Rattus norvegicus: one gene and its partner. The protein of the gene in region 1 purifies or fractionates together with the protein of each later gene. This does not show direct contact. Links are inferred from orthologs where the notes say so. Each region holds a gene or a part of one and is shown in the gene's direction. Other genes may lie near its edges.

Evidence for each region.
Region 2: the proteins of Lnpep (region 1) and Canx purify together in Homo sapiens (affinity purification with mass spectrometry; 3 studies listed by BioGRID and IntAct, with this or other methods). This does not show direct contact. The link is inferred for Rattus norvegicus from reciprocal best matches to the Homo sapiens genes LNPEP and CANX.

What each region holds. Positions count from the first base shown.
Region 1 is NC_086019.1:67,024,785-67,029,310, reverse strand, and holds the start of Lnpep (leucyl-cystinyl aminopeptidase), read left to right. Parts: upstream 1-1,700; 5' UTR 1,701-1,771; coding exon 1,772-1,790; intron 1,791-4,526. UniProt on the Homo sapiens protein: Release of an N-terminal amino acid, cleaves before cysteine, leucine as well as other amino acids. Degrades peptide hormones such as oxytocin, vasopressin and angiotensin III, and plays a role in maintaining homeostasis during pregnancy.
Region 2 is NC_086028.1:35,155,003-35,159,558, reverse strand, and holds the start of Canx (calnexin precursor), read left to right. Parts: upstream 1-1,701; 5' UTR 1,702-1,797; exon of another isoform or gene 1,798-1,845; intron 1,846-4,556. UniProt on the Homo sapiens protein: Calcium-binding protein that interacts with newly synthesized monoglucosylated glycoproteins in the endoplasmic reticulum. It may act in assisting protein assembly and/or in the retention within the ER of unassembled protein subunits.

The sequences.
Region 1 (4,526 bases):
ACAGCAGCAGCGTCGAGATGTGATGTCATGAATATTTGTACTGAGCATAAGCAGACCAACCCGAGACATTCGCTGTAAAGACATTCACTGGAAATGTTTCAACGTAGGCCGTAAATTAGAACTCTAAACATCGTACTGTACTTATTTAAAATTGTATAAGGACTAGAAATTAAGACATAGCTGTAAAAAATGCAAAAACCTGTCCCGCTGATCTTGCATTCTTGATAAACATAAGCCAAGAGTGCTCTGAGAATGGCAGGAGGAATCTTTATAGAACCCACTGTGCTTGTTGTGGTCAGGGGATTCTCTGCAGGGGTGATGTTTGAGTTAAGAAAATGACAGGAAGAAGTAAGTAAATAGAACGTCAAGCGGTGGAACAATTTTGTAGGAGGGTTTTTCTTTTTGTTGTTTTTGTTTTTTAAGGAATGGTTAACCATGCTGAGTGAAACTTGGTAATTTCTAGGAACCTTATGAAAGCCTCAGGGGCCAGCAAAGGACCAGAATGTTAATGAGGACCCAGAGTTAGGTAAGGAGTTTAGTGGTTACTCCAAGTACAGTTGGTTTCATAGGGTGTTGTAAATCAGGAGTGGGAAGGTACAATTGACCTCTTAAAAATATTGCGCTTCGGGTTTATTTCTTTGAACATAGTTAGAATTTCCTTATCGGTCGAACAACATCACTGCCTCCCCTCCTTCGCCCAGGATATTTGTTCAAGCTTAGATTTGTTTGCTCGGGTTGACAGCTTGGGAGGAGTGTGTGACAGTTGGCTAGCGCTGTTGAGGCCAAGGCCCAGCCAAGTCGCCGCAGGGGCCGAAATCTCATAGGCTGCGGGGGACTGCCCCGATTTGGCACCGGAAACAAATGGGCCCCAGGCAAGGCCGTGAGTCTTAGGGGGAAGGGGAAACTTGGCTCCCTCCAGTCTAGCTCGGCAGTATCAGGTCGCATGCCCTGCAGGCTGGGAGCAGTCAACTGCTGGTGTCGAGTTAGGACTGGACTAGGCAGGCCGGCCTCTCGGCCCACAACCTCTGCGCGCACGGTCCGTTCTCCTACACCCCGCGCCGGGTTTTGAGATTTGCTCACAGTTTTATGCCCAGCCCTAAGCAAAAGGCACCCAACGTCTCCCGGGCCCCTCCCTTCCTCTGGCCTCCGGTTTTGCAGCAGGAGCTGCAAGGCGTTCTGCTAATGGAAGGAAAGTCCTGCCGACCACCGCCGCAGGGCTTGCTCCTGCCGCTAGGAATAGCGTCGTCCCGGGCTAGCCCAGCGTAGAGGCCGACGCAGCCCGGGCCTTGCCGCTTTCAGAACGCGAATTTGGCGACTGGCTCTGTGGCGACGGCCTCACCGGCCGCATTTCCGGGCTCAGTGCCGGGGTTGCCGCACCCGGAACACAGCCGGATGCAGTAGTAGGTGTATCAGTTGTCTGAACCGGGGTACTACAGCTCTGCGGCAGAGACAGCGCGGCGGCTCCGAGTGCGCCGCTGGGGGCGGGGCTTAGCCCCGCCCCAGCACTGAGCGCCTCTCCGCCGCCTCTCCGCGGAGTAGGCCAAGGGTTGGGCTATGCTCAGCGTCCACGCCTCAGTGGGCCTTTTGCAGCAGTTGCGAAAACCCGGAACGAAGGTGTTGTTGCCGTGCGGCGGAGCGGCGCCGCCCCTCGCCGCACCTCCCCGGCAGCCTTCCGAGGCCTTGCTGGGCATGCTCAGTCGTCGGGGCCGCTTCAGCTCTCGGAGTAGAAAGCTTGGGGCGCTGGGCTGGTGAGGACCCGCAGCGGGCGAAGATGGAGACCTTTACCAATGGTGAGTGGCTAACCTGAGTCGCGGATTCCCGGGCTCTCAGGGTCTAGAGGGTCAGTTGTGGCACGGGGGTCGGGCTGCAGGCATCCCCGCCAAGGGTTTCCCAGGCGGGCCGGGGGCGGCAGAGGGGCCACGGGCAGCTGGGGCGGGCGTGAAGGTCAGCCCTCTCCCGGGGACCGGCGCCGAACCACCAGGTGAGGTAGTCCGCAAAGTTTGGGATGCTTGCGCCGTGGAGGGGGCGGCGGCAAAGTTGGCAGCCGCGTTGGTCCCGGGGGAAGCGGCCACGGCAGGGATAAGCTGCGGCCCGGGTGAAAGCCAACTGGTGCAGGGAGCGGGGGAGCTGTCCGCCCGTCCTTCAGCGAGCAGCCCGCTTGCTTTTCCGTAATAGGGCGGGGTGGGGCCGTGGTGCTGGCAGCGTGATTTAGTGCATCGCAGGGAAGGAAACTTACCAAGGTCTGGCTAGTACTGCTCCGTGCGGCGAAGATGCTGCCCCGCATTGCCACCCATCTGCCTGCTGCTGCTCCACAGGACGACCAAACTTCTTTTTACCAGCTAGGGATATTGATCTTCTAGTTAGAGACCCACTGAGTATCAATGGTCCCTGTCGGGCTTATATCATAAGGTGGCATGGGGGTGAAAGTCAAAGCAGTCTGGCCAGAAAATAGCCATAGCTTGAGTTTCAATATAGAGGTGAGATGTCTCACCATTTTATGGTGTTTAAATATATAATATATTGATTCCTCACTAGGATATAAAGTAGGAAAACTGCTAATAAAGGGTAGGACTTACTGAGATTAGAGGATCCACATTCTAGTTGGCGAGCATTTCCAGTGCTGTTGGTTACTTCAGGTAGGTAGAAAATCAAATTAATGGGAGAGAAGCGTATTACTGTTTGGGTGGGTTGCTTGCCACTTAAGGAACTGGGCGGGGGAGGGGACACCCCCTCTATCCACTCTTAGGCCTAGGCCGGACTTTGTTGTGTACTTTAACATGCTTTACCACATTGCTAGAGCAGTGACCTACTCATTATGTTCTCCTTTCCCTAATTCAGGATGCTTTATTCTACTGCCATCTTTCTGTCTGCAGCGTTTAATTAGGCTTAGTAATGACAGCTTTAACTCCAAGTTTCTTTCTCATCTGTGTTCTATTTGTAATTACCAAGGCTCTAAGAATAGTCTGGTAAACTTACCCAAAGAATTAAGGAAGATTTGTACTGAAAGGCATCATAGAGACCATCTAGTAATTGACTGTAAAATACGCTTAAAAGAGGTATTAAATATTCCAAGACGTTTTCTTCCTCTTAGGCAGAATTATTGGAGGCTCCTTGTTTGTAGGATTTTTAAATATGAAATTTCACTCATTTGAAAACAGTGTCTACACAGGAGTGAGTCATTTATTTAGTCAGTTTTATCGGTGGTTGACATGCTGAACCTTTCCCTACAGAATTAAAGTAGATTTTCACACCTTGAAGTTAAAATCTTTTCTCCTCCCACAGAATATCACTTTTTAAGATGTATTTACAAATTGTCTCATTTGGGAGGACCATGGGAAAACCCTAGAGAAAAGAGACAAAAGTTCAACTTTCATATAGGAAGTTGTATTTCTAGTTGTAGAAAGCTACCAGTTTTTCCACAGTTGACGTTGGAATTGATTGGCAATATGTCATTTTAGTTAATGTTATTTGTCCTCCTTTAATCAGGAAAGTAGGAACTACACCATATAATGTAAACAAGACCTTGGATATTGCTAATTTAAGGTACTTTGCAGATTTGAAGGTGGAAAAGGTATTTCCTTTAAAACTTTTGAAAGTTTGCTGTAGGATTTTCAAGTATCTTCAAATATATAGTGGAAACTATATTTCTGTAGTTAGGCTTTTGAGTGCAAAACATCAATGTGTAATTCTATAGATATTCTCTTACAGACTATCTGATCATTTTACAATTTATGGTTGAAGGACTTATCAAGCTTAATATTGGCCTTAGTAATTGATCCTCCTTTAGTAAACCTTTCTCATTTACATGCGCTTGTATGTCCCTTCATAAGGAGGTATGTATAGATGTATGGTGAAGTTTCAGTAACCCTGGACCCTTGGCTTTCCTAAAATACTGTCAGCAGTTCATTGACTGACTCACAAGTCCATAAAGTAAATGAATTTAGTCTCGTCATTCCAACTCCAGAACTCAGTGACCCCGGTAGCATTTTCTATAATTTCCCTATTTTCTGTGAAATGTGCTGCTGGAGTGACTCATTTTCTTGAGCCTTGTTCTCTGCCCGGAGTAATAGGTTCATGTATTAATAAATATCTTGTGTTCATCAGTTTGGTTAATAACTGTTGCAACCCATTTGAAATTCATGCTTCTAGAAAAGGCCTATAAAGATGGACTTTAGTGCCAGAAGTTCCTATTCGGCTCAGGAAATAATATTTTTTGCCTTGACCTTGAGAGGGACTGTTACTGCACTGAAAGCCGGACATCTGGTCTGTCTCTGGTTTCTCTGGTGACTTTTTATGGGTACAGGAATGTTAACTCATACTTATGATTGGTTTGATAGTAGCTGCCTCCTCCTGTTAGGCAAGCAGAGACGAAACTCTTAGGAGAGTAGTGACCTGTTGGCTTATTAACACCACAGAAAGTTCCTGGAAGCTAAGTTTTCTAAGAGATACTAGATTAAGACAGCTAATTACTAGATGTCCTTCTACCTTTCTTCTCATTTGCTTGAGATCTCACAGAATAACTTCAG
Region 2 (4,556 bases), on another chromosome or scaffold:
CCCTCAAAACGTTTTTTGTATATAGATCTCCCAAACACCCGAGAGCCGCTTTCTTGCTTTTCTGTAGAGTTTTCTCATCTTAAGAACTTCTTTCCAACTCCACCTACAGAAAATTTGCATATCTATGAGGTTCAGGCCAAGTCTCACCTCTTTCTCTTTCTTAGAAAAGTTCTGCCTCAACTCCTCTACTCCTTCAGTACTGACATATTTTAACACCTCTCTGCAGGATTTTTTTTTTGTTCTCTTAAATTCAATGCCATCTTGGGTAACACAAGCCAGAACACCCATCCTAAACAAATTTAAATACACACACACACACACACACACACACACACACACACACACACACACACGCGCGCGCGCGCGCGCGCGCGCGTGTGTGTGTGTGTGTGTAAATTATGTGTACTTACGCGCGCGCGCGCGTGTGTGTGTGTGTGTGTGTGTGTGTGTATAAATTATGTGTACTTATGTAATGTCCGCTGTCATTGGATTCGAGGCAGCATAAAATCCCCTGGAACTGGAATTACAGGCAGTTGTGAGTGATGGGAACTGAACCTGAGTTCTCTGGAAGAGCAAGTGCTCTTGATCACTGAGCTCTCTCTATCCAGATCCTTAAGGGGATTCTTCTGCCTTAGCCTCCTAAATACCTAAGAACTGGGACTAAAGCATGTGCCAACCTGGCTTCATTTTTTTTAAACATGCTCTTTATAAGGCAAATAAGGAAAGGGATTTTCTTCTTTAAAATTAGGGAGAATTGGCGGTTACTAAATTGACCTAAACATCAAATCCTTAACTGCCTTTCTCTTGGGGTAGCAGGAACAAAGCTGGTTTCATATGTAGTTACATAGATGATAAAAATCTGTTTCTTTCTCCAGTAGTCAAAGCTTTGGGTCACCAAACACAACCAGGAGCGATCAGGATTTTCAAAGACATAGCCAAATCCATAGCCACTTCAATCTTACAGCGTTTTCACCATATTGAAAAAGGAGTGGGTTACGAAATGGCTATTTTAAATCTGCACATGGCATCACCCTGTCGCTAGAGTATGTCTGATTTTAACGCCTGAAACAGCACGGGAACATGGGAAGGTGAGTTCATGTTGCATGATTGTGACTCTAGATAGTGTTTTGTTAGGTAAAAAGGTCCCAGGTTCAGGGCGATGACTCCGCAAGACAGTGTCTGCTGCCCAGAGGGATCTCATTCGCTGCATAAGCACACTGGCCTGACCTCTCACCATTTCTGATGAAGGGCATAGGTCCCAGACAGGATTGGAACAGGGTTTCTAACTCAATGGGTGGGAAAAGGTGTCTTTTGGATGGCCACCAACACACCGGCCCTGAGGAACCAGGTCGACCCACGCGAGGACGCACGCCAAATCCGCCCGCCCTCCGGCCCGCGCACCCGCCCGTTTGGTGACGGCCGCCTTCTTTCCTCATACCCAATCAGCAACCACTTCCTGCCTCACTCTTGTCCAATCATCACGCTCCACGAAGAATAGCCCTAGGGGGCGTATGGGAAAGAGCTTTGAGCGATGGCCGTATCTACCAATAGATTCTCAGATCTTGCGCAAAGGGACGGGAGTTGACGTTTGTTGTAGCCACTCAGGAACGAGGGGCGGACGCGGGGTTGGGCTTCGTGCGGTGGGGCTCGCTCGCGCGGCGGCGGTAGCCGAGGCCTCTTAGTTCTGCGGCACGTGACGGTCGGGCCGCCTCTGCCGCTGTCTCCACTGCAGCACGGGGCCCGGTGTGCGGGTGGGAGAAGGTGAGGGAGCCGCCAGTGGTCCCCGGGAGGCTCGAGGTGAGACGGGAAGCGTGTGCGGGGACCTCAGGCCTGGGACGAGTCTGGGTGAGCGGCGGCGCGGCGGAGGGGGTCGGGCGTGGCAGGAATCTCGACGGCTGAGGGTCCGGCGGGCATTCGAGTGGCGCAGGCCCGGGCGGACGCTCAGAGCAATGAGGAGAGCGGCAGGGTTAGAGAGACTGGTCTGGGCAGCGCCGCCGGGGTCGGGAGGCGTGGCAGGTGTCCTGGGGTTTCCCTTGACCTCTGAGAAAGCTAACTACTTCCTATGGCTTTGGTTCTAGAGTTTTCTTAGGCCCTGTCCTGGCCCACCCAGAGGTGGACTGAGTAATCCGGTATAGGTGTAGTATTAGAATTAGGCCTAGTAGGTAGCCCAAATAGTAGGGAAAGGTGAAGTAAATCCATAGAGATAAGCGTTACAGTTTCAATATTAGAAAATAATATGTCCAAAGCGAAGTCTGGACCATAGCACCCCGATGAGGGAGTAGAATGTACTAGAACGTGTACCGCTTGAGAAACTTAAGGCTTAACTATTAAAGCACCTGCCTATTCGGTGATGATAGATAGTGATCCAGTGAGGGTATTCACTGGACCTTAAAAGCAGGAAATACAAGCGAAAGTTCAGTTAGTGAGTGTAGGAAACTGAGGCCTAGAAGTTTGAAATGACTGGCCCAAGGTCATACAGGTAGTTCTAATCCAGTTCGGATTGTAACTGAGGACTAGACAGTTTGGGTTTCTTAGTTAAGGTTAAAAGTCCTGGTGCAAGCTCCTAACTGCAGTTTATCGGGGGAAGTGGGATTTGGGAGATTTTCTACTTTATGGCTCAGTCCCCTAGGAGTAGACAGAATGGCTGGTCTTGTATTAAAAGGTAATGGGAATGAGAAATTGGATGTATAGTAAAGGTTCAAGGAGTAGTAATTGCACTGGCTTCTTGTAGTCGGAGTGAATGCTTTGGTCATTACACTGATATACTAATTTTTATGTTAAGTCCTGAGGGCACATTAATGACACCTTGTATATTAACTGCTGGTCATGACATTAGTGATTGCTGGTTGTGTGAAGTTAAACCGAACTGAATATTAAATGCTTGACAGAGATGAGCTACGGTTTCTTTACCCTGAGGAAATGGAAGATTCTGCCTGTTTTTTAAATAATCCTCCCCCTTTTTAAAGGGAGAAATAATTGGGTTATCTGAAAAATCTTAGTATATTTTCTAGTACCATTTGAAAGGACACGAACGGAATCGATTCTCATTTTGTACTTGAGCTGTAATTAAGCTTACAGGCCAGGCAGGGTACACAAGTGAGCCAGGCCCTGAAGAACTGTTTATAGAAGTGAACTATCCACAATAGGAGTTTACTGAGCTGTCTGAAAAATGGGTGTCTCCGCCTTGCTATCTTAACAGTGCAATTAGCTCTGTAATCTTTCAAGGGCCACAAGGCACGTGCATCTTGACAACACACCTTGCATCCATGTCCTGGAGAGGTCACTTGCCCTGCCAGAGAACTTGAAGGGAGTAGAGTGGCAGTTGGTAAGCATAACTGCAGAATACAGTGTCCAGCATAGTAGCTTTGCTTCCTGTCCTTTATAAATGGGAATGAGTCTCCTACTTGCTTTACCTTTGAGGGGGCAGCTACTAAGAAACTGCTTTGGAAAGTATAAGGAAATGGGCAAATAGAATTGGCAGCTCATAAAAAGTCCTAAGAAGTAAAGTGCCAACCAAAGATAGTTGTAGTCTGTATAACTTACTGTAAAACTCATTAGGAACATGCTTATTAAATGCTTTGTTATTGCTACAAGTGCTAGGTAAGAATTTTTAGGCTTATTTATCTAATTTTTGGTGTATGCGTGTTTTGCCTGCATGTATGTATGTGTACCAATGTGTGTGAACCATCATGTTGGTGCTGGGGATCAAACCTGGGTCCTCTGGAAGAGCAGCCAGTGCTTTTAACCAGAGCTATGTCTTCAGCTCTGAAAAATTTCCTTTTTTAAAGAATCTAGAAAATTTTCATATTGTGGTATTAATGTCTTTTTAAAAATCTCGTTAAGATTTATTTAGGTCGGGAGAGATGCTCAGCAGTTGGGAGCACTGGCTGCTCTTCCAGAGGTCCTGAGTTCAATTCCCAGCAACCACATGGTGGCTCACAGTCATCTCTAATGGGATCCAATGCTCTCTTCTGGTGTGTCTGAGGACAGTATACTTATGTGCATGAAATCACATCTTCCCTCTGGCCTTTTTTTAATTTTTTATTTTTTTATCCTTTTTTTTTCTAAAGATTTATTTATGTATGCCTGCAGGTCACAAGAGGCACCAGATCTCATTACAGATGGTTGTGAGCCACCATGTGGTTGCTGGGAATTGAACTCGGCCTCTGGAAGAGCAGTCAGTGCTCTTAACCACTGAGCCATCCCTTCAGACCCCTCTCTGGCCTTTTTTAAAAAGTTGTATATATATATTTTTTAATCTTATAAAAGATATATTTAAAAACATTTTTATGTGTATATAGGTATAATTATATACAATATATTCATGGGTGCCCGTGGAGGCCAGAAAAGGGCATTATATTCCCTGGTGTTGGAATTACAGACTGTCATAAGCTGCCCATCTGGGAACTGAACCACCTCTCCATCCTGGGTATTCACATCTTAAAGTGAATTAATATGAAAAAAGTTAATTAAAAAAATTTAGTAGATGGATGGTGTGGTAGTGGCTCACCTTTGATCTCTGCATGAGGATAGATTTCTCTCTGAGTTCAAGACCA